Danio rerio: one gene and its partners. The protein of the gene in region 4 interacts with the protein of the main gene of each other region in a pairwise test. Links are inferred from orthologs where the notes say so. Each region holds a gene or a part of one and is shown on either strand. Other genes may lie near its edges. The genes, in order: daxx, btg1, spegb and prmt1.

Region 1 (8,139 bases), on a different chromosome or scaffold from region 4:
TCCACTTCCATATCCTCCTGTTTATTGGCGTATTTGTTGATGACCTCCTCCAGGCTGCTGATGGCCACGTCTCTATTAGAGCGGAGTTTACGATGCAGTGCTGGGTCCATGAGTGCAGGGTCTAATGCTGGAGAAACACACATTGCATGACCAACTGCACTCCATCTGCAGACTGATGAACTGAAAAATATATATTTTTATACTAATAATTTTTAATAGGAGGTTGATTTGAGATTGATTCTCAAAAGCTGTAAAATATTTTCTAAATACATTTTTCTATATAAAAAATATATATTTAAACGGTCAAACACTTGAGTGACCATAAAATACAGGTTTATGTATTAAAATGGCAATTTGGTTAGTATTCATGTGAAAAAAATTATTTGAATCTAAAGTTGAAGCAATTCAGGAGACATAATCAATGTATAAAGTCTTAAAGCGACCACAGTCTAATAATTTAAATTTTTATGCCTTTAAAATTAACCAAAGAAAAGATAAAAATAATGAAACATTTAATACACTTTGCCTGCATATTTTTCCTAGCTTTACTAACATGTATTTAATAACTTAATTGAACTATTTTGAATCTACCAATATTTATACATTAGTGTTGCCACATTAATGGAATTTCCGACATCGATACGATACCTTGAAAAATATCAATATTTGAAACAGCGGAGAACAAATTCTGCAAAATTAAAAGTATCCAAATGAAGTAACAATATATTGTTTAACCATCGATATCACAATGTGATCGTTCGCAATAGTCACATCGCAGGATATGCAATGTTGAGTCTGGATTATAATTGATCATTTTGCAAGTGTTTTTTAAGGACTGTGACTGTGTGAGGGTTTTAAAAGCATTCAGGCCTAAAAAATTGTATTGTTTGTAACCTTGAAAAATAAAAAACGATTACAATAACGATCTAACTGTTTATAAAACTAAGACTATGCAGTAATATTTTTAGATTTGATTATTCATTCTCCATTAACCTGAATATATTTTGACTCTTCGGAAAACAATAAAACAAGGTTTATTTATTAGCATATTTTTCTTTATTGAATTTATCCATTCTTGTAGACTGTTTATTATATTTTATGCACTCCCCTACAGAACATTTGCAATCAAACTAAAATTATAGATTCTTTACAAACATTTATTCAACTCATCTAGTGAAATAGTATTAATATCGCAAAATATATCAAAGTGTAATTTTTCCAATATTGTGCAGCATAGTAAAAAAAACAACAAAAAAAAAACAATACTAAACCATGTTATGCACATATCAAGTTTTCTCAGCAGTCCTATATATAAAATATATAAAACAACAAAATTAGCACAATCTCATTTAATATTCTGCTTAAAACAAAAGTGTTAAAAGTCTTATTATTAATTATTCATTTCCCTGCTGGTATCAAAACCAACCAAAAGTTGGTTGGTACAAAAAGATTGTACCATTTTAAATATTTAAGAAATGATATTTATTGATTTTTTATCAATATCAAACACTATACATACATGTTTTTAAGTGTATGCATGAATATAAAATGGGGGCCACCGTCTTTGAAACCCTGTGCTATTTTTCATATTATTATCACTCCTTCTCACATTCATCTGATAAAAAGTCAAATAAAATACACATGCACCTGATCACTTTCTAGAAATATCAATAGCATTTGTATTAAAGTATTTGTATTTCCACTGTATGCAGCATCCGGTCATGCACCAGCCGGCTGAAGGAAAGTTTCTTCCCTCAGACTATCAGGCTGATGAACACTTAACACACCCACACACAGACTCTTCCATAACCCTTACAGCAAACCATCAAAATGTAGCATGCACTGCACTTTAACCAATCCATACTTGAAACAAAACTACCTACAACGATGTGGACACCTATTCATTGTACATATCGCTGTCAATTTCACATTGTCACTGTGTTTGCACTGTCTGTATTTTGCACTGTCGTTGTATTTGCACTGTATCTGTATTTTGTCGTGTCTGGAGTCAGCACCTAAGCTTTTCACTCATCATAGCACACATGCTGCTGATGATGCGACAATAAAAGTGATTTGATTAGCAAATTCCCTGACTTTTCTGATTTTCACCTACTAAAACGCTAAATTTCCATGACCCAGACACCTTACTTTTCACTCAAGAGCAGTGTAATTTAATTATATTTTGATTAATGGGAAGTACTATTTAAAACGTATAAATAAAAATCCATAACTTGCACAAAAAACCCCCGACTTTTAATGCCTGCAATAGAACTTTTAAAACGGATTAAATCTACATTTACTGAATCGATTGCTTATGAATCAGAATCTCAATCAATGCCCACCCCTAGTTTGAATCATCAAAAATTCAAGTCATTAGATTATTACAATATGAGCTTTTCCTTCTGAATTAGACAGTTATTAAATGAAACTGATTTACTTGGTTTGTATGGATCTGTGAGATGAGAGCCGAAGTTGTAGACCATGTCAAGGTGTCGTCTCTCCTGTAGTTTGTTGCCCGTCTCTCTGAAGGCTTCTTGGGAGATCTGTGCTTGCTGTTTGCGGGAGAGCTGGAGATTGTAGCGTTCGTTGGCTCTCTGCACAATCTTCAGGATATCGCTGTAGTCTGGAGGATTGAGAAGAGCTTCTGAACTGTTGATGAAACGCTCAACCTGCTCAACAAAAAGAGAAGAAACAATAAGAGATAATGAGAGAGGAAAAGGTTTGGGTAAACATTGATTCATTTATTAATATTAGGCCCCTGGAATAGGCTAGTTCAATAAGCATTTTTGAGTTTTATCAGGAGGCATTTAATGTAAACATAAAATAAAATAATATTCTCAAATATAATAACACAAACATTTAAATTAATTTATAATTGATTTAATTAAAGTAAATATATGACAAAAACTAAACTTATTTTTATTTCTGCAAGTTACAAAGAAACTATACAAATAAAAGTATAACAACAAAAAATAACAGGAAAATATCATAATCAAACTAATAAAGCTTAAATTAAAAACAGATAATCGAAAAATAACACATTTATTTAATCAACAAATATTTTAAAATCATAAATATTCCATTAAACTGAATTAATTTAATTTAATTTAAGTAAATGTACTAATTTCTGCACTATTGAATTATAAAATATTAAGGTTACAGTAGTTAATGAAAACCAAAATAATTAGTTAATAATTAAATAAACCTTAACTTATAATTTTAAATACATCACAAAAACTAAACTTTTATTTCTGCTAGCTGCCAGGAAACTATAATAAATAAAAGTATAACATCAAAAATAACTACAAAAGACCATAATCAATAATAATTTAAATTCAAAGCAGTTAATCTAAAAATAACACATTTTAAACTATAGCAAATACTACAATCGTTACTTGATGATGCTAAAAGAAAACCAATCCATACTTATGAACCATTTTTGATCCCTAAAACAATGAATCTTCAAGCAAATACAAATCAATGATATTATAAATCATGTTTTACTTGAAATAAACACACAAAATAAAACAGTATTAAAAAGAATCATCTGATCAATGATCGCTATCATACATAAATCTCTATTTATTTCAAATTTTCTAGCCTATGCTTTAAGGGAATTTATTATAAACTAATTAAAACCTGAGCTAAAACTCCCCTCTTTTTAGAGAGTCTAGATATTAGTTTTTAAATTGCTTTAATGTATGAAAATAAAGTAAAAAAACTGTCCAAGCAAAAGCCCGCACCTTCTTGTTGATCTCTGGGTATCTCGTTCCACTGTATGGGATCTTCTGCTCGATCACTCGACCCGTCAGAGTGTTACAGCCTTTCAGCTCACACAGCTTCTCATAGATCTTCATCATCTGACACCACAAAAACAGCTATAACAACTTCTGAACGTTCACAACTTCTGCTATAGATTTCATAGATTATACATCAAAACAGATTTAACTGAATCTTTGAATACAAGTTAAAAAAATGGCAGAAGTGAATGGGGTTTGTAATCATGTAATTTTTTTAAAGAAAATGTTGCCATTTTTTAATTTTTTGTTGCAAGTAATTTTACTGATATTGTATGTGTAGTAATGTGTTTTTGATTTAAGGTTGGAGCGGTGCATTGGGTAAGCTAAATTGTCTGTAGTGTACGTGTGTGAATAATAGTGTATGGGTGTTTTCCAACGATGGGTCAGCTTGAAGCACATCCACTGCGTAAAACATATGCTGCATAAAATGGAGGTTCATTTCTCTGTGCCGACCCCACATTAATAAAGGGACTAAGCCGAAAGGAAAACGAATATATGCCTGGCAGGAGGCAACAGATGAAATTTAAGGGCAAACTCACACTGTACAGTTGCCTTGAACCAGGCCAAAGCACGCTTGTCCCCCTTCCGTCTCCCCCGACGGCCCGCACTCACATTACATTCAGGCCTGGGCACCCTTACGTCATCGATGCTGTACTGTTCAGTAAGCGCTTTCGCTCAGCACAGTGGACATTTCTTAATCAGTTGTATTGTTTAAGTCATTTAGAATGCGGTGACACGCAGTAAAATATTTCGCCGAACAGATCCATGACTTTTGACGCTCATAAACAATCATAAAGACCTCGTGCTGCAGGAATTAGGAGGTTTGCTGAAGGTGCAGCTGTCGTGCAGTGAGGGGTTTGCGTCTTTAAAATCTACAACAGTTTGTGTTCATTGAACAGTACGAATGATAATAATGCCATATTAAACAGTCTTGTAAAAGTCACGTCTCATCTTCAGTTTCGGCCTCTGGTGCACTTTGCTCATATATATATGACATTTAACCGTGCCTGAGCCCGATTCAGAGCACTCACACTTCTGAAATGATCCGGGAAACCCTGGGCACGGTTCGAATAGCATAGTGTGAGTACGCCCTAAAATTCTTGTGACTAACTTTGGCTAATTTAAAGTTTTTCTCTTTGAGCATTGTCCCGGCTAAATAAATACAGAAAGAACTAAAATCAGGAATAAACAAGCTGACCTTGCGTTTAAGTTTGTGCTCTTGAATATAACTGGAATCTTCTTTCTCCAAGTCATCCAAACTCAAATCCCCCTCCTGAAGCCGGCGGATCTCCTCATTATACACTTTCAACAGGTTTTCCAGATACGCAATCTGAAAAATGAGAGACACACAAATTACTGTAACCGTAAAATAGACACACTTATTTGTTTTCCTGTGATTTTTTGTTTCTTTTATAAATATTTTCCTAGTGATGTCTAACAGAGCAAGGAATTTTTCACAGTATTTCCTATAATATTTTTTCTTCTGGAGAAAGTCTGACTGATTTTATTTTAGCTAGAATAAAAGCAGTTTAAAAAGGTCAATATTATTATCCTCTTAAGCTATATATTTTTTAGATTGTCTGAAGAACAATCAACAAGTCATACAATGACCTGGCTAATTACCCTAACTTGCCCTAATTAAACCTTTAAATGTGACTTTAAGCTGCATACTAGTATCTTGAAAAATATCTAGTCAAATGTTCGGTACTGTCATCATGACGAAGACAAAAGAAATCAGTTATTAGAGATGAGTTTCTATCATGTTAAAATAATGTGTTGAAAAAATCTTCCTTCCGTTAAACAGAAATTAGGGGAAAAGGAGGGCTAATAACTCCGACTTCAACTGTATATGGTTAACTTATCTTACAGTACCTGTCTTCTCGAAGCTCTTTTGGTTTTCTTTGACTCCTCTTCCTGCTGTTTGACATCTTTTCCTCCGTCTTGTTCACCCTGAGTGTCCTCTTTAACATTAACCCCATTGCTCTTCTCCTCAGGTTTGGCCTTGACAGAAAGCGACTGTATGGAGCTTCTCTTCCGCGGCGTGTGCTGCTTCAGAACAGTGCAGAGTTCATTAATGTAGACGAAGGTTTTGCCAGCGTTGGCCTGGGCTCGAGTGAGGCAGCGGCCCAAAGTGTTACGAAACTCCACAGACGTCAGAAAGGTCGGCAAAGCCTTGGAGTATCTGGTCTGCAGGTAAGTCATGACTTCTGGATGTTCTTGCGAGTGTTTTGAGCAGTGCTCCACAAACTGGAGGAACAGGATTGGAGTAGAAGCGAGACAAGAAAGAAGGCAAAATAAACAAAATTTTAGTAGGATAACAAAAAGAATATTTCTGTTATCATTTACCCACTCTTTACTCTTTTTAAATCTTCATAAGTTCTTTCTCTTGTTAAACACAAACAAACATATTTTGAGAAATGCTGTAAACCTGTAACATTGACTTCTATAGTATTTGTTTTCCTACTATTGAAGTCAACTGCTACAGGTTTTCAGCATTCGTCAGAATGTCTTCTTTTATTGTTCAACAGATAAAGGACTAAAATCCTTTAGGGTAATATCATTTATCGGCCCAGCCCTACTTGAGGGTGAGTAAATACTGAGTAAATGTCATTTTTAGGTGAACTATCCCTTATATTTACAGCTGGCGTACATTTTTTTTTAATACTGGGGTATTGTTTTATCATTTAAAAACAAAAACATATATTTCAGACCACCTTATAGAATGCATTTAACAAAGTATGCTAGACAAGTGCAACTGTTTTATATGGTGCCTAATAAGAGAGATAAAAATAAAAAGAGAAAATTATGATTTTAGGCATCATCATAATAAAAGAATCATATAATTCCTACATTAGAATTGTGTTAAAGCATTAAATGAGACATGCAATGTTAGTTTTATTTTTTCTGAGCAAAGAATAATGACTATCCTACATTTTTACCATTTTCAGATTTTTAATTAATATATTTTCCGTACAAAAGACAGACACTCAAATGTCTTAAGGTGTTGGTACAGTTTATCTATCAAAAATATTATTAAAAGTTTATAAAAATCAATTGAAGATCTATTAGAAGATTTAAAATGCGGTCTCAAAATACTATTTAACTCAGCTGTCAAAATATATTGCGATAAATGATATTATTGTATTTTAAGACCATTTCTTATTAACACCACTCATTATAAAAGGCCAGAATGACAATATAATATCACCAAATGCAAGTACACTCATGTCCATGTGTTGTGCAATAAGTGGATACAGTTGAAGTCAGAATTATTAGCCCCCATTTGAATTTTTTTTTTTCTTTTTTTTTAAATATTTCCTAAATGATGTTTAACAGAGCAAAGTAATTTTCACAGTATGTCTGACAACAGTTTTTATTCTAAACAAAGTCTTATTTGTTTTATTTGGACTAAAATAAAAGTTTCATAATTTTTTAAACACCATTTTAAAGACAAAATTATTAACCTCTTTAGGCTAATTTTTGTTTCGATAGTCTACAGAACAAACCATCGTTATACAAAAACTTGCCTAATTACTCTAACCTGCCCAGTTATCCTAATCAACTTAGTTAAGCCTTTAAATGTCACTTTAAGCCATATAGTAGTGTCTTAAAAAATATCTAGTCAAATATTATTTACTGTCATCATGGCAAAGATAAAATAAATCAGTTATTAGAAATTAGTTAATAAAATTATTATGATTAAAAATGTGTTGAAAAAAAATCTCTCTGTTAAACAGAAAATGGGGAAAAAATAAACAGGGAGGCTAATAATTCTGACTTCAACTGTAGATTATTGTGACAGATCTAAAAATTACTGTAAACAAGCATACCTCATTGAACAGTTTCTCATTCTCCACTTTCAGCACGTGTGTGTCCTTCTTCGCGCTGGCGAATGGAGACTGTGTGATGTGTGTGGGAGCCGGCACCGGCTGACTCTTCACTGGTGTTTTTAAGTGTTGCGCTGTGGCTTGAGAACAGGATGCAGACGTGGAAGCTGCTTCTTCATCGTCATCATCGAGGATCACAATGCTTTCCATCCCTGCTCCGGCCATCCGGAAGGGAGGAGAACGAATTTGCTGAGGAGTAACGAATGTGGAGGTGTCAGGCCTGCATTTCAACTACACCAAACACCTGAAAACATACCAGTTACTATTTATGGCTGTGTCGTATTTAGGCCCTGTTATTTCTATGATGTTGAAAACATGAATTGAATTGAATTGTTGAGGAAGTTGGAGCTAAACCCTGCAGGGACACCGGCCCTCCAGAACCAGGATTGGTGACCCTTGGTCTACGATAAGTATTATAATATAAATATAATTTCACAACATTGACTTATAAC
Region 2 (6,831 bases), on a different chromosome or scaffold from region 4:
GTACAATTACGTAATCTTTCGGCTTGAAGATATCGGCGTAATTTTGACATCGACACATAGCGATAACATTAAAAGTAGTGTATCGGCCGCTTGCAATGTCCCGCCGATATATCATGCATCCCTAGATAAAACTCTCCCAACCCTGTTGTATTAAATATCTTCCAAAAACAAACAAAGGATGAAATATCAAAACGGATATTCCTAAATAACCCTGCTTTGATAAAGAACAAGACCAAGTCCACTGGAAAACATTGCCAAGATAGGAAATCTTTTATTACAGAGAAAAAAACTTTTCTTCCAAAATATAGAAATCTGTACAACTTCCGCACAATCAATTTACATGAACTGTACAAATTTACAGCAGTTCATCACAACATACCCAAGAATGAGGAAAAGAATGAACACAAGAGATGTACAGACGGGGGGGGGGAATAAAATCACAAGATACAGACAGCTTTATCTTGGGTTGCTCAGAATTTTTTCTTTTTTTTCGTTTTAATTTAAAAAGAAAGAAAAGAAAAGAAAAAAAACGAGGAAAGTGTATCAGCACAGAGCATGGAAACTGATAAATATATATATTTTTTACCAAAACAACTTTGGTCCTCTCCAACACTCCTAACACGAATGGCTTCACTTATGAAAGAGGAATTCATGTTAAAATATGAAATACAAAAAGGAACACGTCTACACACAGCAAAATATCAATTATTGGCACTTCCCATATGTATGGTTATGTACTTAATCTACCATATGTTGTACAATAACAATACATTCTACAAATATGGAACCACCTCAGATGCGAAAGTGGCAATAACGCGAATCACTTCTGAAATGACCGACAAAATTCCCGACCGAATCATTCCCTTCTGTTTTTCACATCTTAACCTGCACATCCATAAGGGTTTCAATGAATGTCTGTGGCCTGAGCTTGGCAATACATTCCAATCGAGACACGGTGGTCTCAAAGTCACATAACTTCAATGTTTAACCTATTAGTGCATTTCATGTGCTCTTGCCTCCAAGTAGACTTGAGTTTAGACTCACACAACGATACTTAAAACTAGTGTGCAAACAATTACCGAACTGAAGCGGAGAGTTGAAACGGTTTGCTGATGTTATTTTCGGTGGAGGTGGGGGGGCAAAGTAGTTTGTAGTAGATCTAAAATAAAAATAAAAAAAAGCACTCGAATTGTCTGTTCCAATTTGGTTGAGATCACCAGAATGTGGTTTAAGAGCTTTAACATTAAAACCAACAGGCAAAGTGTGGGGGGAGGGGCGCCTTTCAGAGTTTAAAGCATTCAGAAAGGTGGGATGGCGATGGCGTTCTAGTCATACGTTTTTTTTTTTAAATAGACTTTCCATCTCTCTATTAAAGTGACTGGACCAAAGCAAGAAAGAAAGGGACGGCAGTGCATCGATAACCCGGCGTTACCCATGGTCCTCTAACGTCAAAAGTATTAACACACAAAGGACTGATAATCAGCACCTTGTCTCGGCAGTTAGCGGCTAAGGCAAGAGCAATATGTCGCACACACATACACGCACGCACGCAAAGCCTGCAACCCGCTTATTTCCACCCAATGTAAACAGAATCGTCCAGAAACCAGGAGCACCCCATGTATCTCTCTTCTCATCCCGACTCGGCTCTTTATGTAAGGCTCAGTTTGGTTTGGAGTGCACTTGGTGTGTGCGTGCTGGCATAAATACTCTCCTCCAGGCTGCGAGAAGGGGGCCGGAGAGGATTGTAGCTGCCCTGATCTGAGGGTCCTACCCCCTTCTTCGGCCAGCCAATAGAGGGAGGTGATATGTTTTGACCGCGCACTCCTAGTTAAGACTGAGACCGGTGACGCCTGGCTGGAAAGTGCGTCGGGAGACCATCTGTAACAAGCAAGCACCACTGGGGCTTCTGCGATTCTGCGAGGAGATAGGAATACTGGTCCATTTGTCGACGCCGTTTCTTGCCGGTCTGTTAGCCACATACTGGCCATTAAATGGAGTCCTAATCTCTAACATGAATCAGTCATTAAAAATGGCAAGAGAGAATAACCTGGGATTGAAATGTCTCTCTCACCTTCACAAATATTGCAACCACGTCGCTCCATAAAGAGCGCAAGCAGAGATAACGATTTACGACAACTGAATAAAGAGGTATGCGATGGAATGCAGTTGGGTCGAATCGAAAACGTCATCCCACACAGTCTAAAATGTCAAAGTGCATTCAACATCCTTTCTAAAGGAGGCAGAAAGTAAAGACCACGTCTGCTCCAAGTCAAGAAAAACAAAAACAAACCTTGCTACATTTTTCATTTTGGCATGACGAGGGGCTTAAATAAATCAAATGTGTCGTCGTTGTTGGGTTTTTCTTTTTTTTTTCTTCTCTTTTTTGTTAGAAATTACATTCATCCAGGAGGGAGCCCCTAGAAAAGCTACAAGCATGAGAACCTTTGCATCACAGTGCCATCGACGGCTAGCGTGGGTAACAGTATGACACAGATATTCCACAGAGGCAGTGTACAGGATGGAGGCGGCTTGAAACCGGTTCATGTCGACCTGAAGCCCAAAAGAAGCCCTACCAGACACCAAGAAGAGACAAAAGTACCGCTTTGTGGTCCAAAAAAGTGAGGTTTTTAGAAAAATGAGGCTCAGAGCGGCACTAGGGTCTGGCACAGGCTCCCAGTGTTTGGGCCTCAGCTCGACAGCAAACGGAGAAAAAGGGCATGATGAAACATAATGGAGCATAATTCCTTAACATTTTAGAGGGAGTTTGTGTTTATGCAATAACATAAACCGTGAAAGCGAAAGTGCAAAGTCAACATCGGCAGATGATGGCAGAAACGCCCTCCCCCCCAATGACCACTGCCGTGGGAGTGGGTCAGTCTCTGTGAGCTGGGGGGCCGGGCGGTGTTTTAGGTCTTCATTAGCTGCCCCAGGGTCAAGCCTCTGGTAGATCCAACACAATAACAGAACAGACAACCAAAACGAGTGAAAAATAAACCTACAAGGTTTCCATCACCTGGACGATAGGACACATCCTGTTTTTTTTTTCTTCTTCTTCTCCTTTCTCTCTTTTTTATTTCTTAAAAATGACTTCTGTGACCCGTTTAGCTGGACACAGTCATCATGTAGGGTTTAGCTGGGCTGGTACGACCCAAAACCAGTAGTTCCTCCTTGCAGCTGATGTGACTTTCCACCATGGCCGATACCTGGGTGACAGATGAGGCGGGGATGCTGTTTCCAGTGGTGGTGCTGGGGTTTCCGTTGGTGCCGGGATGGGATTCGTAGAGCACGCAGATGGAGCCGTCCTCTCCGATGCGGTATGACACTTCAAATGGGTCGACCCACAATGTGAGCTCGCTGGGAAGCAACAGGTATAGCTGCTGAATGCTCAGCCCGATGCGCTGACCAGCCTGTCCAACCAGAGGGTCCATCTTGTGGTTGATACGTATGCAGCGATACCCAGAACCCTTGTTTGGACGGTCTGGGAACCAGTGGTGTTTGTATTGCTCTGTAAGAGAGAAATGGAGGAGGTCGTTATGTAATCGTCGATATATGAAGTATTAATAAAAAAGAAAAAGCAAAGAAAGCAAATATCGCAATGCAAAAGATTACAATGTTTATTTATTAAACAGTAATTCATGTTAGAGCTGCACAATTAATCAGAAAAAGATTGCGATCTCAATTCGACCCCCCACACAATCTTAATCCAGCATCTCTACGATTCAGCTAATTATATTTTCAACTTCTGGAGAAGTGTAAAGGCGGCCTCACAAGTCGTCACATTGTTTTATATAAGTTGCTCAGCAACATGAGCACCTCCAAATGGTATTAAAAGTGTCACATACTGTATTTATAAGGTATAATTCACCCAAAAATGTAATTTCTGTCATAATATAATGATGTTTTCGTGGCTGCGAAATCACACGAGGATGCACGCACGGGAATTATGTCTTCTTTAGTGAACAGACCTGGCATAAGCTGTGAATAACAGGTAATAAAGTTGTAAATTATCTTCAGTTTGTTGCACAGAGCAATCGTTCGGGAGCCCCTGTGCAGCTCCCAAACGATTGCTCTGTGCAACAAACTGAAAGTAATTTACAACTTTATTACCTGTTATTCACATGAATAACATGCATGTATGTTTTTTTCTCTGAGTGACAGCAGCCATGACAGTAGCGCACTTGGCAGTGAAAGTGAAACCAAAACCGCGCACATCATTTACATGATCGTGTCACATTTTACGACCAGGACAAATTTAAGTCTATTTAAGTCTACACGATTCCAAGTCTGTACAAAATGTAGCATTTTTAGCACTACACAAATAGGCCTAATATTAATATTGTTGTTTTACCATGTTTATTAAATAACATATTAATAGCCTACTCGTATTAATTTTAATTTTACATCTACAGAACCCTGGGGGAACAAAAATAGTTATTCTCACTTCAGCCAGAATTGTGCAGCCCTTCATGTTTTTTTAATGTTTATCAGTTTAGTTGAGGGTGCACATATATTAATGCATACATGCACACGTACATGTCTGGTCAAACAATAAGATCATGCCCTAGCCAATGGTAAGAACACTATTATTTTATGTTAAGCAAGCAAAAATCTAAAATTAGGTGGATCTGTTAATAAAACTCTGATCATTTTAATCTCAAAGTAATATTTCTAATATTGGCACAAATGGATTTGTTAACGTACTATTATGGATTCCTAAGTTTAATAAGAATAACATCTTTTTTATTATCCTTACCTTAACTAAAATAAAATTTAAAAAAAGTTTTATTAGCTAAATTTTAGACTTATTAACAAACATTTGCACACTTTATTCCTAAGTTTTATGTCATTTTAATGTTTAATAATTTTTAAATTCAGCACTCTTAAAAAACTAAAAATACTGTAAAGGTGCAGAATTTAAGAATATCTATTGGACATTTAAAGTACTGCAGTGTAATATACTGTATTTCAGTTTTACTTTCCTTTTTTTTCAGCGTGCGGTTGAGAGTAACCCACATGCATATTATTTCTAAAGGCTGATTTAAATATTGAAATTTGTGCATAAGTGCTCTATTTTTACTAACACTACTTTTGTAAATATTAAAGGGTTGTTTGATTATTTTCAACCTGTATTTTACTGAACAAACACTTTTTCATGGCTTACACTTTATGCTGGTGGTGTAACAAAAATGCTAATTTTGCTAATATTTGATTCAAATGGTCTTATTTAATAGATTTTCCTCATATTGCGTATTGAGATTTCTATGAAAACTATGTACATTTTACTGCTAGTTGAACTGAACATGTTAAAGTAAATGAGAATATGTACTTACTTTTTCCCTCTCTGTTGTAGTTGTACAAAAAAGAAAAATACTAATTAGAACAATTGCCAGTAAAGTCAGTATAGTTACCCAAATTGTTTCTGCCGCTCTTCCGCTATCTGTTAAATTTTTGGTGAAGCACCAATTAGTTGGGACAGAATAAAAATATTTATTATTAACATTATTATGACTATTTAAATGTCAAAATGCTAATTTAATCAGCCACAGATGCAGCTGTGTAAAACAATAAACATGCTGATTCGCATTATCACTGGTGACAGGTAATGGCTGAAATGTAAACATCATCATTTTCTTGTGCTTTAATGTTAAAACGGCCCTACTATAAATTGTCATTCACTGAAATGGCATGTTTGAGCTTGAGACCCCTGCTTTACAGTTTTATATTTGTGCACTTACATTAGTTTAGTCAGTACTAAACCAAAATCAGGAGCTAATCTAACAAAAAAAGTCACAATAATGGTTCAAAAAATAGTAGCCCAAATTTATATGTTATTGAAAAATATTAAATACAAAGAGAAGCAAAAGAAATTGAAATATTTAGTTGAAATTTTGTAGAATGTAATTTTTTAGCAATTATTTGATTGGATTTAATAGTATTATCTTTAATTTTTTTAAATATTTTTGGTGACTAAAATATTATTTTAATAAATATATGTTTAATAAATCTGTTTTGTTCTAATGCACCAACATATATTACTCATATTGACTGAGAAATTGATTTTCAAAATGGGGTGTTCTCAATTATGTCGAGCACTGTATATGCAATGTATTAAAAGAACTCAAATCAACTCAAATATTAATAATGCTGAACCCATAATCAAGTACTAAGTCTGCACTCTGATAGTTCGGCCTGGTTATGCAGTAAAAGATGGAGTGAGAGTCTAAAAAGATGTTTTTCCCAGCGCAAAATCATCATTGGTTGAACGCAGATAAACAACCATTAACCATCTGTGTCCAAGGCCTACGTGATGGAGAAAGAGAGAGCCGTTTGATTGCACAATCCCCTTTTGGCCCGAGAGTCACAAAGTCTTCAAACACAACGAGAGCAAAAGGCTGAAGTCCTGGCAAGGCAGCTGGAGGGGGAGGAACCCACCTCTTAAAGACAAAGCGTCCCATTTAGAGTATCATCATGGTTTCAAATCAATCTGCTTTACTTTGTTTTCGTCCATATATATTTTTTTAATCATTCTATAACATCAGTGAGCATATTCAGCTGTGACACCAAACCAAAATCATGACTCTTAAAGAGCCAAGTTACACCCTACACAAAGGACTTTTTTGGCATTTGCGTTTTTAGTCCCTTCTGGCTCTGTGTATTGGGTGACATGTGGAAAACAGGAGACTGAGGGATGGGTCTCAAGCCTCTTTATTCTGCTCTCAAATAGGCCAGGCCCCCGCAGGCCACCTGTAGACCAGGGTTAGATAATGCCGCCTGTGTGCTGTCTATGATGTCCCATCCCATTCTCCTAAAAGCCTAGCAGACAATGATCAA
Region 3 (8,139 bases), on a different chromosome or scaffold from region 4:
GAGATGTCCAATGACATGTTGGCTTTGAAAAAAGTGATGCATGTATAGCGATCTAATATACAATCTTGATATATAGAATAATATGCAAATTACATATATGACATACAAGTTCATATTTGAATTTCATATTAATAAAATACATCATATTTGCAACATATATTTCAAAATTTCAAAAAGGTTTTTTACATTCATGTTTTGTAAACCATGATAATTACAATTAATAGTGATCAGCTGAGGACAAAAAAAGGAGGAAGATGATACCCTGCCCCCCTTAAAAAAAAAAAGATAAAAAATTATATATACATACACATTACAGTCAGTTGTTCTTTTAAGAAAATTAGTCTGTTCATCAAGGCACTATTTATTAAATGTAAAATAAAGATAAATTGTTAAATATTTATTCAAACTTTAAATAACTTCTTTTCTTATTGTATGTAGTTCAAATGAAATGTTTCCTCTAGTCATTCATGTGACTCTTAAGACTAGAGTAATGAAGCTGAAAATTCATCATTTAAATTGAAATAAATGATTAAATTAAATGATAAACTACTTTTGAACAGTTATTTTATAGTGCAATAACATTTCACAATTTTACAATTGGTTCTGTATTTTGATGAAATAAAATCTTTTGATGATGAAAAACTTTTGACTGGTAGTGTGTATATATGTGGTGTGTTTTTTGAAACAATCACTCTAAAAAATAATAAATAATATTCTTTAAATTAATATTTGTTATTGGCCACACAATTGAAATGTTATTTTTGTTTTGTCAGTGTAAATGTTAAGCAGTTTAACAGTGACTAAAATGGAGGGGTTCGTGGATGTATTCATTTTGGGTGTGAAACAATAGGCAGTCGGTCAGTACTGAGTGAGATGGTTTCTTAATTAAAAGAGGCACTCAAGATATTTAGTTGTGATTTGGGTTTACTGAAGAACTTGGTATACAAATGGAACACACAGTATGTGTGCTTTTTTAAAGACACGCACACTGCAACACAGTATACCACAAGTGACTGTTATATCGTTTTTGCAAAGCGAGTTAGATAGCAGGTGTGGTAATCCAGCATTATTTTTTTGATAGGTTTATACTTTGTACCTCAATGTTGGGTCAGATCTACACACCGCTGCTAGATGTCAACACTAACTCTTATTATTATTATTATATTATTAAAATCTTATTATTATTATTATTATTGTTGTTATTATTGTTGTTGTTATTATTAGTATTATTATTTATATCTTGTGTCCACTGAATATAACTTTCCCTGTAATTTATAGTCGACTCTTTATTCCAGTGTGATAACTAGTAGTCAGTCAACAATTTCAACCAGTAGTAGCCTAATATACTTAATTAATTAATAATAATAATAATAATAATAATAATAATAATAATAATAAACCTTAAAAATTTTACTTTCCCTTTGCTTAGTCCCTTTTTTTATAGTTTTATTTATTTATAAAATATATTTTTATAAATCTGTAATATCATCTAAACTTATGACACTTTCAGTTATTAAATTTGAGGTGCTAGGCTGTAGCACTGAATTAAAGAAGACATAGGGACAGATGATTTGCAGAGAATAATAACTAATGTGCGTCCTGCAGCTGTATTAAATGACACAATATCGTTATGTTATATACACAGCAGCCAAAGTAGGTCAACAATTACATCCCTGAAAGACATCCGGAATAAAGCAGGTTGTCTGCTTTGATGACGATGACACAACCTTATAGTAAATCTGTTTTGTTCAAATGCACTGAGAAATGGACAAAAATACTCCCATTTTCAAAATGGGGTGTCCTCACTTATGCTGAGCACTGTATATTTAAATATTTATTACGCATTTGTAATTCCAATGGTTGAAAACATATATATGTAAACTGCCATTTTTGCAATATATTGAAATATATGAAATATGCTTTATGATTTTGTACATGTGAAATCCAAATATAAACTTATTTATCAATTTGCATGTATCTCCTTATATCGGACTTCTACAGTATATGCAATGCATAAAAGACTACGACAGAAATGATCAGCCCTCTAGATTTGCTACAAGTTATACACTAAAGCTTTCCCCAGCAGAATATAAAGTTACCAGTTAGCTATTTAGTTAGATCAGCTGGACTAATTTGCTTTGGCTTGGTCTTTTTCTTGTGTTGGACTTACGAGCGAGGGACACAACGCATGAGCTGGTGACTGTGGCCAGTGGGTTTGCAGCCACACATTCATAGAGGCCTGCATCCTTCTTGGTGGTCTTCATAATCATCAGCAGTTGTCTCCCATCGGGGCAAGATATCATATTCATCCTGGGGTCAATCTCAAGTGGCTTCTTGTCTGAGAATACACAACATTTCAATTGAGAATGTTAGTTGTGTAAAGTACAGTTGAGGTCAAAATTATTTGCCCCCTTTGAATTTTTTTTCCTTTATTAAATATGTTGCAAATTATGTTTAGCAGAGCAAGGACATTTTCACAGTATGTCTAATTTGTTTTATTTCGGCTAGAATAAAAGCAGTTCTTCTTTTTTTAACTTAAGGTCAAAATGATTAGCCCCTTTAAACTATCTTTTTTTTTTTTTGATAGTCTACAGAACAAACTATCGTTATACAATAACTTGCCTAATTACCCTAATCTGCCTAGTTAACCTAATTAATCTAGTTAAGCCTTTAATTGTCACATTAAGCTGTATAAAAGTGTCTTGAAAATATCTAGTAAAATATTATTTACTGCCATTATGGCAAATATAATATAAATCAGTTATTAGAAATGAGTTATTAAACACATTAAGTTTAGAAGTGGGTTGAAAAAAAATCTTCTCTTCATTAAACAGAAATTAGGGAAACAAATAAACAGGGAGGCTAATAATTCAGCTCAGCTAATATTTGTGACTTTAACTGTGGCTTTTACGAAATATAAATCTCTACAAGCTGCTTGTTCTGCTGCTTGTTTACATTTTAGACTTTGGTGGCATTACTGATATTAACTTTGAGGTGAAAAGAGACTTTTGTATTAATAATATAAAAATAAATAGCTTTGGTTATTTCAGCACAACAATTAATGTATCAAAGCGGGCATTATTAAAGAATAACTTTAATTCTTAAATGAATGAATTAAAAGATCATTTAAACTTACATGATATCATATCCACAAATCTGTTTATCTATAATATGTAACCTTGGACCTTAAGTTGCACATATATATTTTTGGACATAGTCAAAAACATTGTAGGTGTCAAAATTCTCAAAATTAATATTATAAAGATCATGATCCATTAAGATGTTTTGTACATTTACTATGGTAAATATATCAGAACTAAGTTTTTGCTAAGTGTTTTTTTTTTTCATTTAAATTGTATCAGTATTTTGATTTTAAAATGGTTTATCACAGCCAAATCCTGGAAACTGTGTCAGTTTATTTTGGCATGATGTCAAGCTAAAAGTATATTATGCATTATATAAAACTTTCAAACTACTCAATTATTGCCTTAGATAGTCTATTGTAATTTACTGAAAATTAATTAATATAAATAAAATAACACAAAGCCAATATAGTGAAACAAATCTATATAAAAGAGACGGCACACTTGCAATTTTATTAGATCAGTCTCTATGGACATTGCTTTCAATTTAGGCCAGATTATATTATCTTTAGTACAACAGAAGCTAATATTAAAAATTCAATCAGACCTTTCATCCATGAGATGTGTGGGTGAGGACTGCCAGCAGGGAGGCAGCTGAGAGTGACAGGATCTCCCTCCAAGAGTACATGGTCCCTCAGTTTGATATGGAACACCGGAGGGAAGTCTATTTTTTGATTGAATGATTAAAAAAACCGTGAGACAAGCATCATGTATCTTTCACTGCTGTGCCAAAGCAAGTACATATTCATAATTGACTCAATGATTATTTTAGGTTTATGACAAAGCAGCAAGTATTCAAACAGATTTCTCTATTTCTGCAAAGTTACAGTGAAATATACAAGTAAAATGTGCAGTACCAGATGTTAGACGTGTATATTGGCGAGACCGTAGAGAACCATTCTCTCTAGCAATGGAAGCTGGGATGTCTGGTTGGGAAACTGTCTTGTCCTTTTTCCCTCGAGTCAAGCCCCATCGGTCCCACCGTGATCTGCGGTCAAGTTCTGCATCTGGAAAAGACATTTAATGCCCTTTAAAATTAGAAGAACTGACAACAAAATAAAGCAATGAATGAAAAATTGCATACTTTTAATAGCTGATTCTGACTGGATGCTTGACATAGAATCAAGAGATTCTGATGAGGTCCCTTGCCCTGACTGAGCAGCCAGTTGGTTTTGTGGGATACCCATTCTCTTCAGACTGCCCCCCTCAGAAGTGGAACGCCTTAGTTTGTTGAATATAGGAGTCCTCTTGGTCTCCATCTTGCCTTCACTGTCATCTTTCCTGTCCTCAGAATGGCTCCTAATTCTTGTAGATAAGCTTGCCATGGTGCTGCCAATCTTCTTGCGCATGGCAAGAATAGGTGACTCAGAAGGTGCTTTAGACTCAGGCTCTGGGGGAGGCTCAGGACCCCCATCCAACCTCATCATCTCAATCTCCTTCTTCTCTTGGGATCCCCTCCGTCCCAGTGCCCAAGAAAGACGACGCCTGGGTGCTGAAGCCTCCTCCTCTTTGAGCTTCTCCTCCTGCTTTTCCACTGATGGGGTCCTTTTCAAGCGCATGGAGAGTCGCCTCATGAACCCAGGGTCCTTCTCTGCCTCTCGAAGATCTTGTACTGATTTGGACTTCTCCTCCAACCTCCTTGGCACAAACTCTAAAGGAGCACCAGTTGGTCCAGGGCGATACATTTCTTCAGCAGTTTCAGGAGAAACAGTGGAGGGCTTGTCTTCAGTCTTCTGAAATGAGAAACGTTTGAGACTACGAGTTAGAGAAGACTCACGTTTCTTGAAGCGAGCTTCAAAAACCTCCTCGGATGCAAGGTCCTGGATGTTGCTTCCAGGAGATGGCTCTCGCTTAGGGGAGGCGCGAGTGGGTGTCTTAGGAGGACTTGGCTCTTTGGGAGGGTGTTCAGTGGAGGCAACCCGAGAAAAGACTGCAGGATGCTCAGTTGTTTGGTGAAGATCTGATTTGGATGAAGAAGTTGATGAAAGGGTTGGTTCTGAGATGTGTCTGGAAATGGGTGCATAGACTGGAACTGATGGTGGAGTGGAAGTTGGTGTAGGAATAGGAACAGTGTCAGATTGGGTATTTGCTGGGACAGATGGTACCATGATAGTCTGCATAATACTGGCATATGCGGACATCCTACCATCTGGGAGCACTGTGCGTGCAGGGGGAGATGGGGTAACATAGGTTGATACACTCTGGGGACTGGATGCTGGGGCAGCTGTTGGGGTCACCATGATTGAGTTTGTGGAAATGATAAACTCTGGAGACTTTGGTAATACCTTTACATCACCCTCATATTCCTTAACCTCAATCTTTGGAGTAGGAGGCTCAGTTTCTTTCTCTGGCTCCTCATCTTTTCTTGTTTCCTCTTCCTCAATTGTTTCGTCCACTATAGAGGTCTTTTTTTCAATTTCAGCCACTTTTTCAGACTCTTCCCTGGTTTCCTCTGACTTGCTCTGGTCCTTTTTCTGTGCATCAGAATCCCAAGATTTCTGATCAACACGTCTTCCTTCTTCCTCAGTCTTTGACACAGCAATAACCTCTTCAGGTTTATTGTCCTTGTAGACAGATTCTTTTTCTTCAGTTTTCTTCTTTTCATGTCTTTCTTCTTCAGGCATTTGAAGTTTTGGAGTGATTGGGCGAGAATCTTTGACAGGCTCTGTGAGAGCAGACATGGATATTGCTTCCTGTAGGCGTCTCTCCTCTATTTGTGCTAGAGGAATCTCTAGAGGTGCTCCGATTCTTCTGTGCAGGGGCATGGGCTCTGAATCCCCCTGGCTAAAGGAAGCACTCTTGCGGAGAATCTTTGTCTTTGGGATGTCATCTCTAGGTGACTCACTAGATGCCGCTCTAACAAGTGGAGGGTTACCTAGACGAGATCCCCGCACAAACCGCTTCTCATCTCCCATACCTAGTGTCTCCAGCAATGGGCCTCGTAATCCACTCATCTTGTTGTCAGCAGAGCCACCCCTGAGTAGTCGCTGCCTCATCAGTTCCAGTTTCAGAGCATAGTCTTCCTGGCTAAGCTTTGCAGCACCTGGACTTGGGCTTCTCCTTGGAAGCTCCATAGATACAGACTTTTGTAGAATTCTACTTCCATCAGTAGGACTTTCTTCTGTGCCCTCCTCTGGTTTGATATGGAGCTGTAAGGCACTGTCAGCCGAACTCCCTCTGCGTAACTCTCCTCTGCGACGTCCTCCCTCTGGCTCATCTGACTCCATGCTTGAACCTCTGCGCATTGGTCTCTTTGCCAGTTCTGCTCTTTTGGCCAGTTGTGATGGTTCCTCATCAGACGACCCTTTTTCATCTTCTGTTGTAGTCCTCTTCTTGGCTCTACCCCTAGCAGATGGATCTCCACCTTCTCTCTCTGACATCTCCACTTCCATTGGCTCGGACTTCGGATGGAGTGAAGCAGGCCTCTCAGCATTTCCATTCAATTTACCTGTCATGTCATCATCACCTACAATTTCGGTCAGTGACATTCTAGATCCTGAGAATTCCACGTTGAGTGGCATGGGAATAAAAGGCAACTCATCGATGTCTTCATCTGAATCTGAAGATGATGAAAGTGGTGGTGAGCCTTTTTTCAGATGTCGCGGAACAGCAATGGAAATATGGCTGGAGGAGTCATCCAGTAGCTCAGGTACAGACCTCATCACCATTTTAGATTTGTAGCTGATAAGCGATCGCTAAGAGAGATATGTTAACATTGTTACAATTAAATAACACAAAGTATTTGTAATGTTCTAGACACTAAAAAAGTCAAATATTATCTTACCTGCCATTTTCTTCTGGACAAAAACTTTTTAAGGGACTCTGTACTGATGCTTTTACCCTTGTTGAGGGTCTAAAACAATAAAAGGCGAAACAATTAAGCTATAGGGTGTAATTTCATGGTTTAAAATTGTTTACAGCATAAATGAACAGCAAGATTTTAATAGATACAACAGTTTAATGCTAGATGACTTGTAAAATGAGCCTCTTTCCAAAAAAAGTGAAGTGTTCCTACAAGGGCACATTCCTCTTTACTCCTTCACTATGCCTTTACCTTGAACCAGGGGTGGCGAAGACATTCATTAGCATCAGGCCTCCTGCAGATAACATTAAACAAATTACCAGTTAACACAAAGTGCTTTTAGCAGTGAAAATCATTTTCTTGACAATAAATTATCGACAGGAGCGTGGTGAAGCAGATAAGAACCGTTGATTCCACTTACAATCTATCAGCCACCAGCAGCTTGATGACGAATCCCTTGGCTTCATGGCAGAGGTCTGTAAACATGCTTTCTTCAAAAGCCACATTATAATTCCTGATGTTGAGAACAGAGCTGCGGTCGTTTTCCCCAGCAAAAGGAGAAACTCCAGTAAGACTGAAAAGAGATCAGTTTTGTACATCTTAAATTAAATCAAGTGGCAGAATAAATGATAATATAATATAATATAATATAATATAATATAATATAACATAACATAACATAATATAATATAATATAATATAATATAATATAATATAATATAATATAATATAATATAATATAATATAATATAATATAATAAGTTCGTAAACAATTTTTATAGTGGATTGAAAAACTCTAGTCTGAAAGTTTAAAGTAGTTTCAAAGTTTCAAAGACATTTGAAACAGTTGACACAGATAGATAAGTACATGTAAGCTAGCATGTTTCTAGCATGGATTGGAATATTTCTTGCTAGGCGGTTGCTAAGGCATTGCTAGGGTGTTTGACTGGTTGCTAAGCGGTAGCTAAGGTGTTCTGAGGGGTTGCTAAGGCATTGCTAGGTGGTTGCTAGGGTGTTCCAGGTCATTGTTAAGGTTTTGCTAAGGTGTTCTGAGTGGTTGCTATGTGGTTTCTAGGGTGTTCTAAGTGTTGCTAAGGTGTTGCTAGGGTGTTTTATATGGTTGCTAAGATGTTGCTTAGTGGTTGCTAAGGTGTTCTGAGTGGCTGCTAGGCGGTTACTAAGGCATTCTAGGTC
Region 4 (8,842 bases):
TGCGTTATTAAATTACATTACTGTTTAACCCAAACCAACATGTGCAATTTTCCACTGTAACTAACTTTTGCCTAGTTTCTTATTTTACAGAAGTCCAAGGATTATATGCTTTAATGCATGCTTTTTTTTTAGTACTATTATATTATTATTTTTAGACATGACATATTTTAAGACATTTTAAAAGCAAATGCTGATAATTTGGAAAATAAATAATAATTTAAAAAAATCCTCTCTCTGAAAGCATTAATGACTTGTATAGCAGAAAATTTTACTTCAGCAACAAAACATTTTTGGGGGAGGAACTATTAAAAATGTTAGGGCTGCACTGAATCTGGAGTGCAGGCAGGCAGAGTGTACATGATCCTGCAAAAAAAATTGGCTAGTCAAGAGATGCATGTCTAAATATATTAACTTTTCTGCAAATAACATTTGGCCGATATTAAAGTTATTATTATATTAGGGGTGTCAAAAAACTATTGGATACTGATGTCATTTATCTCCTATGCACGATGTCGCAGTAGAATACTATGGCGAAGTAGGAGAGGGCAAGTAAATAAAACGCTCCTACTACTGAAAAGGTAGATAATTTTGCAGTTCAACTGCTTGTGAGTTTACTGGAAAGGCTTTCATTGAGACTGACTGAAGAAGACACAGCACATGAGCCGCTATTATACTACTAAGGAGAAATGCTGTAAAAAGCCATCTCTGCCTCTCTCTCTCCCTCCCTCCCTCCCTCCCTCCCTCACTTTTGTATATTTGACCCGCTGGCCTGTTCATGAGTTAACTTTTCCCCTTCTCTTGGCTGGTAAAGCGATACTTGTGGATCCAGACACGAACCTCCCTGTGGTGCGAGTTTTCTCCACTGTGGATTACCTTTGATAACTGCATATTATGCACATATAGACTGTAACCATGGCTGTTCTTCCCGTGTCACTCATCAGTGAACAGCACTTTTATGTCTAAAGCCAATCACAGCTGTTTCTGTCAAACGGGTGAAGACAATAACCAGTCATAGAGGCAAGACCTCACTCAACAACGCTCAAAGCAAGTGGGATAATATTTCCATAAGTTTATTGCCTAAAAATGCTCATGTTGTCTTCTGTGTATGTATTGGGAGTTTTGTTTGATACCTTGAAAAAGAGTGTTTTCTTTGAGCAGGTCAAATTAAAGGTACAGTTCATATATCTTACTTCTTGTATTAAAGGACAAAATTGTGTTACAAATAATATATAAATATTAATATATTTTCAGATTTTAATAAAAAAAAAAATAGTGTTGGGAGAAAAAAAAAAAAACTCATTTTGCACTGAGATATCGAATTAAACTGAATCGATGGCATGATAATCGTTACCGAACCGTGAGACCAGTGTAGGTTAACACCCCTAATTAATATTAAAGAAAGTGAAAACGTTTAGAAGTGATTAAGTTGTAATTTTACAATATAATTTCCAAATGAAGAGCTTTTAGACTTCATAAATTAGAAACTGGAAAAATGTTCAATTTAATACAGAAATCAACCCATTAAAATGGTAACAAGATATATATGACCATCCCTACACTTTCACTAAAGGTGCTAAAAGTAAGACGTGCACACAAGGCTCACATTATTCTTGACGTTGGGCTTCATGCTGATAGTGCCAAAGATCTCCTCTCCAGTCTTTACTGTCAGATAGTCATCAAGGTAGAACACAGTCTGCTTCCAGTGAGTGTAAGGAGACTCTGGGCCTGCAAGCAAAACTCACTTTAAACAGGGTTCAACCATCCTTCAATACAATAAACTCGTGGTGAATACAAAGTGATTTTGTGGTGAACACCACACACAGCACTTACTGGTAGAGAAGCCTGTCCTCTTGTGGCAGCGAGTGAACTCTATGTTGAAGTAGGTTACCAGAGCATGAATGTAGTCGTTTCTTTTCACCTGCAGGCAGAAAGGTGACGTGAAGGACAGGTCCTCAATCTTCACGGTGTAGATGTCCACCTCCTAAGGAATCAAGAAAACGTATTGAATATTAAATGAGGAAAGCAGGGATTATGTGAACATTGGAAAATAAAAGGTTGCAAACAAACCTTAATTAAGCAAGCAGTGCTAACAAGCTGTTTGGGATCAACAACATCCACCAGCGGCTCTGTAATGGCCACTTCCTTAATACAGGACATGTCAAATCCATACACGTTCTCCCACCCTAAAAAAGTGCAAATATGAAACAATTAAATGAGTTACTGCTTTAAAGAAAGCTGAACAGACTCAAGAGTGCATTAAGAGATTGATGCGTACAGTGGATTTTGTAATCCTTGTACTGCCGATCCTCGATAGCAGTGACATAGAGGGTGGCTCTGTCAGGAAAAATCAGGCCATCAGGTTTCTGAAAGCCAACAATGGAAAACGTGAACAGTGATTAAATCAAGAAAGCACATACGATTTTATACTGAACAGTTTCAACATGGTAAAAGACATTAGCATACACCCACCAGCCATTTGTCCCTGGCATAAATGACGGTGTTAAGCATGGATTCATAGAAGAGACAGTAGCCCATCCACTCAGAGATGATTATGTCTACATTTTCCACAGGAAGCTCGACCTCCTCCACTTTGCCCTTAATTATAGTGACGACTGGACAGGAAAAAGTACATGGTTAAAAATTTTAGGTACATAAAGAATAAAATGGGTATAGGCCAAAACTGTTAATCCAAAACTGAAAATGGTCATTGTTTAACCTCCCCTCACTCATTCTAAACCTGTGATTTTCTTCTGTTGAACACAAAAGATGATATTTTGAAGAAAGATGCAAACCTGTCACTACGGTTACCAGTTTACAGCTTTCTTCAAAATATCTTCTTTGGTGTTCAACAGGAAAAAAAGAAACTGATAGGTTTAGAACCACTTGAGAGGGAGTAAAACTTCATTTTTGGGTGAACTATCCCTTGAAACATGCTGAGAAAATAAGTTAACAATGAAGATGCCAAAAGCTCTGAGAAGGCCTTACTATGATCCAGCTTGTTGGCCTTCACAATCTTCACAGCATAGTCTGATATACTGCTGCACTCAATCTAAGGAATAAATGACCAACAAATTAATAAATTAATCTGACAATACACAGCATGATCAAATAATACCACATACAAATAAATGGCTTAAATGTAACAAAAATGCTTTAAATAAATCATGGGACTACTTCTCACCCCAATAACTTTCTTGGCTCCAGCTTTGGCTGCAAACATACAGAGGATGCCAGTACCACTTCCCACATCCAGCACAACTTTATCTTTGAAGAGATGCTTGTTGTGAAACATGGAGTTTCTGTACGTCAAAGTACGAACTTCATCTTTTAGCATCTCCTGTGAAGATTCAATGGGTTTACATTAATTATAAATAAATTAAATTGACTTCACCACTAATGCTGAGATTAATGAACTAACAAGAAAGTACCTCATGAATGCCAAAGTGTGCATAGGAATCAAAGTAATAGTCTTTGGACGTCATGTCTTCAGCTGCAGGTTTCGCTGAGCTCTCTCCCTGGGACACCTCAATTTCAATAGATAAGAAAAATGTAAATAAGCAAGTAAAGTCATGAGCTGGGCTTTTCTCAAACATTTGCAGTATCTTCAGTATATTAAAACAAACAAGCAAGCAATAAGGTACTAGTCAAGAGATGACCCAAAACATGTTTAAACCAAACATGCCAAGTGTAAATAACCCTGAGTAAACAGTGTTTTTACACAGAACTACATAAAGTCGGTGGCTTCCTCTGAATTTAGTTCCAACTTTTGGCAAATATCACAGCAGGCAATGAACCATTTTACACATTTTTTTTTAAAATGGATAGTTAAGCAAAAAAAGTCATATTTTATCTTCACACGCCTAACGTTAACCTTTGAAGAGTCCTCTTAAGCTTAAATTTTTCTACTTTTTAATTATACACATTTGAGGAAAAGTGGTCTAAAAGAAAACTTAGTCACGACGCAAGTACTAGATCATAGTAAACAATACAGGATGTTTTATTAAAAAACCCAATCACTGTGATTAGCAGAGAGGAAAAAAAAGCGTAACGTTAGCTCCTATCCATCAGTCCCATGCGGTCTCTGCCCAACAATAAGTCATTGAAGTCCTCCGCCAGCGTGCTCACGTGGAAACTGAACAGCGAGCTAACGGTAGCTAACATGACAGAAATATTCATACATTTAATCTCAAAATTCATCTGTGGTTACACTCAACAACTAAAAACTCGAAGCTAGCTCAAATTTAGCACATTAGCACTAGCATACACGTGATGCGAAATGAATGAATTATCTGCGGCAGGCTAAAATGGATGCTCAAGATGCGTGTGCGCACATTTCTAGCCACCTGATAACTACATACGCAGCAATCAAATCTGTTCACAGACCAAAGATTCGGAACCGGCGTGTGACGTAAATAAAATCGCCGTGTCGATTCTGATACGGTTACGAGATATTTAGCATCAGAAGCGTTTTTGGCGAACCGGCCTTGAGTAGCTTCAGCTTACCTCCATTCTGTCTGCCGTCTCCGCCATTTCGATAAACTGGACACAGCCGCGACTGCAGCAAAGCTCATGTAAAACACACTTGTTTTGCTCCCGCCTCTTTGCTGTGACTGTATGATTTGATTGGGTGACAATCACGTGGTTTTACAATAACCACACCCACTTTCCTGCGGCTCTTCGTCATAGGCTTTTCTACTATGCGTTTTTCCGCTCTTTTGATGCGTGACTGTCATTGGTCCAAACTGTAACATGATTATTATTTATTTATTTTATCTCAAATATTATTTTACAGAATTTTACTGTGAATCCAACATTTATTATTTTGGGTTGTAGATACAAATTTAATGTCTGCTTCACAATAAACCCTATTCTATTTTTATGTAAATTTTATATTCATTTATTCGTTTTCCTTCTGCTTAGTCCCTTTATTAATCCGGGGTCGCCACAACGGAATGAACCGCCAACTTATCCAGCAAGTTTTTACGCAGCAAATGCCCTTCCAGCTGCAACCCATCTCTGGGAAACATCCACACATGCATTCACACACGCACTCACACACTATGGACAATTTAGCCTACCCAATTCACCTGCACCGCATGTCTTTAGACTCTGGGGGAAACCGGAGCACCCGGAGGAAACCCACGCAAACGCAGGGAGAACATGCAAACTCCACACAGAAACGCCAACTGAGCCAAGGCTCGAACCAGCGACCCAGCAACCTTCTTGCTGTGAGGCGACAGCACTACCTACTGCGCCACTGCTTCGCCCTGCCTATATTTTATATTTATAAATAAAATTTTCAAATATAAAATCCACTTGTGTATTTTATACAAGAGATCAAAATTTACTTACAATTCCAGATTCACTTAACAAGAATGCACTCAAAACGTAAACAATTTGCACAACATGTGTAATCTATTAAATATCCCAATCTTTGTTATCTTTTTTATTTTGCCCTTTTTATTTTCAATTTCATTATCTGTTGCATCTATTCTCAGATTAGATAACCTATTGATATCATATTTCTTTGTTTTGATTTCTGTTGTTTTTTGTTCTTGTGTTGTTTCTTTATTGGTACCATTGTAAATAATATAATTATTATTGTAAATGTTATGTACCAAATGTATCTATATGTTGTACAATAAATATGAAAAAATATTTTATTTTGCACAAGTTTCTGTATTCCATTTTATTTCTGTTTATGGAACACAGTGGCTTAGTGGTTAGCACTGTCGTCTCACAGTAAGAAGGTCGCTGGTTTGAGCCCCAGCTGGGTCAGTTGGCATTTCTGTGTGAAGCTTGCATGTTCTCCCTGTGTTGGCGTTGGTTTCCTCCTGGTGTTCCGGTTTCCCCCATAGACCAAAGCCATGTGTTATAGGTGGATTGAATAAATTAAATTGGTGTAGTGTATGAGTGTGAATGAGTGTGTATGGATGTTTCCTGGTACTAGGTTGCAGCTGGAAGGGCATCCGCTGTATAAAACATATGTTGGATAAGTTGGCGGTTCATTCTGCTGTGGCGTCCCCTGATGAATAAAGGGACTAAGATGAAGGAGAATGAATGAATTATGGTTTCATTGTTTTCATGTAAATTTTATTAGTTGGACTTTTGTCAAGCTAATAGAAAAGCTTACAAAATCTTTTTAGGAAACCATCCTTTAGTCATGTGTTTTGTTCACAAAATAAACTATATGGTTATAATTATACAAAGTAAGCAAAGTTTGCAAAGTAAGCACATTTCTAAAAAAAAGAAGGCATTGATAAAATAGGAGACAATAATGATTATTTACAAAACAACATCTGGAGAAAATGGATGTTTGTACATTATCATACTATGGGATTTAGCTCAGATTAAGACCAATGTCCTCCTTGTTACATCTTCTATGAGAAAAAAAAGTTAGTTTGGTAATTTTTTCATTTTTCATACTTAACAGGAAATAATATTGTTTGGACAACATTCTTGAGAATATGATCTTGTATTTATGTATCATGGCAAACAATTTTTAAAGAACACCAGTGTGAGCAAATGGTGACACTTTTTCTTTGATGAATAGTTCCTATAAATCAAAGTTTACATTATATAACATTGTTCAGTTCCTGGTGAATTGTAACAGAGACCATACAAAAAGAAAATATATTTATTTACCATGTACAAGATGGTTATGCATCATCAAATATAGCTTACTTTGTTGAAAAAAACAAACATATTTGCAACGAATGCTGTAAACAAATCAAATGTGTAATTTTATTAATAATATATTCAACATATTTTATCTTTTTAATTTATTTATTTATACTGCAGTGGGTACCTAACTGAATTGGCCACCATTGTCCACAATAAACATATTTGATATTGCCTTAAATGCTAAATTTAATTAAAGAGATTTAGAAAATGCCTCAAAAACTGTAAGATTTAATTAGTTTAGATCATTGGACAAGTGAGTGCTGCATACTGTTGACAATACTGAGCTAAAGCTTTACTTCACATAATTAAATTAGAAATCATATTGCAATCTCTGTCAGACAAATCGCAATTAGATATTTTCCCAAACAGTTCTGTTAAGCAGAAAAAGTAATTTCTCTCCTTTCACACATTAAATTGCACACTATTGCAAATAAATATAGGAACAGCAATCGTCAGATGGAATTAGTGCCATTTACAACCTCTATTTTGCCAACTTATCACCATTCCCACATACTTGCACTTTGATACTTTCAACAGTGCCGATCTTGTTTTCAAGCCAATTAGAATAGTTATCAATTTTAATTGATGTATAAGCGGACAAATCAAGTAGCGAATGACAGAGACAAAAGTGTAACTAGCCAATTAAATGAAGAGAAACAAGCAGGAGGCGGGACTTGTGTGGAGGAAGCGCAAGAGCGAGCTCGGTGGCCGTTCTGTCACGAGCTCCGTCCGGGAACACCGACCGAACGAAAAGTCTCGTACATAATTGACGACTAATTATAGCCAATATTCACCTTTCTGTCGAGAAACAGGCTTGTCAGATTAGTTCGTCAAGAAGCAGGATTCCCCGTTGTCCTATCGCGGTCCTTTGGGTGATGTATTCTAACATTTGATAGAGCTAGCCCAGCTCGCTAGCTGTTTGGCTAGCTTGCCGTGCGTGACTCAAAGTCAGAGAGGTATCAATTGATATTTTAGCACCATCGACATTTAGGTGCGTACCCGTCAGTTAAATCAACACGTTGGCTTGTTTTTTAAATTAGCTCGTGTCGCAACGTAAGTTTATGCCTCGCATCGCTTTCCCATTGAAGAGAGTTCACGGGATTGAATGAATTAACGTTAGCCAACGGAAACCCCAGTCGCGCCGACTCCCCAGCTTCTCTCTCTCTCACAGCACTCACTTCTTTTACCCCTGAATAATCTCGCGGTGTTATTTTTGTGTTTAACGAGCGTTTCAAATTCAATTCAAGGCTAAATTGCTGCTAGTGTTTGAGTTCGTGATAGTTAGCTCACTAGCTCGGCGAACTCACCCAGCGCCAGTCAAACCTGCACCTCTGAACATCTGAAAGTCATTTATTTCGTCTTGAAGCCGGCTTGGAGAGAAGAACCCTGCAAACATGCCGGCTGTGTCGAAAGGAGACGGAATGCGAGGATTAGCGGTGTTCATTTCGGACATCAGGAACTGTAAGTGCCCCTGTCACACTCAAACACCATTAGTCATTTTCTAACGCAAACATCTGTGTTCAGCTCTTCCTACATACGCCCTACGCTGAATCAAACTGCTCTGTTCTGCATTGCTTCGCTGTGCTTTCTAGCCGGGGTGAATCATGCCAGTCAGATCAGTGGCGCTTGATGAGGGAGATCAGGAGAGTAATCGCTGATCTCTGAGGCCCGTTAGCTTTAGCTCCGGTGATGATGGAGTGATGCTACATCGGCAGACAGTCCGCTAGGCCGCCACCGAAAACCGCGTCTTTCCTCTGCAGATCGGCTATCCAGCATGTCTTGTCTCTCGTCACCTTGACTTGCTGGATAGCAGTTGATATCGCTGTTCGCCAACAGGACACGTTTCAGTTGTGTTTTTCACGATAATCCAGTTATCAAGCTGTCGCCTTGAGCTAAGCGTTATAGGAGGGTCATCTTGTTAAGATGTATCTCTGGTGTTCTGCATCTGCCTGTTTTGTACCTTCAATTTTACCTCTTAAAGATTGCTGTTGAGTTTGATAACAGTTACTTGATGCATTTTTAAGGGTTTTAAAGAATGGCACAAAATAAGATCTATGCTGGTGTATTTTTTGCTTTTCGTTTTCTGTTGATCATTGTAAAATAGGTTTATTGTCATTTGAATAACAAGATATAAATGATAGTCATTTGTTTTGCCCAA

What was found.
Region 1: the proteins of prmt1 (region 4) and daxx interact in a two-hybrid assay, tested with the Homo sapiens proteins (2 studies listed by BioGRID and IntAct). The link is inferred for Danio rerio from reciprocal best matches to the Homo sapiens genes PRMT1 and DAXX.
Region 2: the proteins of prmt1 (region 4) and btg1 interact in a two-hybrid assay, tested with the Homo sapiens proteins (2 studies listed by BioGRID). The link is inferred for Danio rerio from reciprocal best matches to the Homo sapiens genes PRMT1 and BTG1.
Region 3: the proteins of prmt1 (region 4) and spegb interact in binary tests that used the Homo sapiens proteins (3 or more experiments, as listed by UniProt). The two-hybrid records come from large-scale screens. The link is inferred for Danio rerio from reciprocal best matches to the Homo sapiens genes PRMT1 and SPEG.

Annotation. Positions count from the first base shown.
Region 1 is NC_133194.1:8,076,070-8,084,208, forward strand, and holds part of daxx (death domain-associated protein 6), read right to left. Parts: intron 7,932-8,139; 5' UTR 7,877-7,931; coding exon of another isoform or gene 7,853-7,876; coding exon 7,631-7,852; intron 6,048-7,630; coding exon 5,673-6,047; intron 5,131-5,672; coding exon 4,999-5,130; intron 3,861-4,998; coding exon 3,744-3,860; intron 2,670-3,743; coding exon 2,438-2,669; intron 128-2,437; coding exon 1-127. UniProt on the Homo sapiens protein: Transcription corepressor known to repress transcriptional potential of several sumoylated transcription factors. Down-regulates basal and activated transcription.
Region 2 is NC_133179.1:17,123,369-17,130,199, forward strand, and holds the end of btg1 (protein BTG1), read right to left. Parts: intron 3,506-6,831; coding exon 3,102-3,505; 3' UTR 2,380-3,101; downstream 1-2,379. UniProt on the Homo sapiens protein: Anti-proliferative protein.
Region 3 is NC_133184.1:43,385,460-43,393,598, reverse strand, and holds part of spegb (striated muscle preferentially expressed protein kinase), read right to left. Parts: intron 7,520-8,139; coding exon 7,367-7,519; intron 7,241-7,366; coding exon 7,198-7,240; intron 6,997-7,197; coding exon 6,928-6,996; intron 6,839-6,927; coding exon 4,228-6,838; intron 4,151-4,227; coding exon 4,001-4,150; intron 3,808-4,000; coding exon 3,691-3,807; intron 2,339-3,690; coding exon 2,171-2,338; intron 1-2,170.
Region 4 is NC_133178.1:31,170,163-31,179,004, forward strand, and holds the start of prmt1 (protein arginine N-methyltransferase 1), read right to left. Parts: upstream 4,622-8,842; 5' UTR 4,531-4,621; coding exon 4,504-4,530; intron 3,525-4,503; coding exon 3,429-3,524; intron 3,338-3,428; coding exon 3,182-3,337; intron 3,050-3,181; coding exon 2,986-3,049; intron 2,613-2,985; coding exon 2,470-2,612; intron 2,364-2,469; coding exon 2,276-2,363; intron 2,184-2,275; coding exon 2,068-2,183; intron 1,982-2,067; coding exon 1,831-1,981; intron 1,726-1,830; coding exon 1,604-1,725; intron 1-1,603. UniProt on the Homo sapiens protein: Arginine methyltransferase that methylates (mono and asymmetric dimethylation) the guanidino nitrogens of arginyl residues present in proteins such as ESR1, histone H2, H3 and H4, FMR1, ILF3, HNRNPA1, HNRNPD, NFATC2IP, SUPT5H, TAF15, EWS, HABP4, SERBP1, RBM15, FOXO1, CHTOP, MAP3K5/ASK1, MICU1 and NPRL2.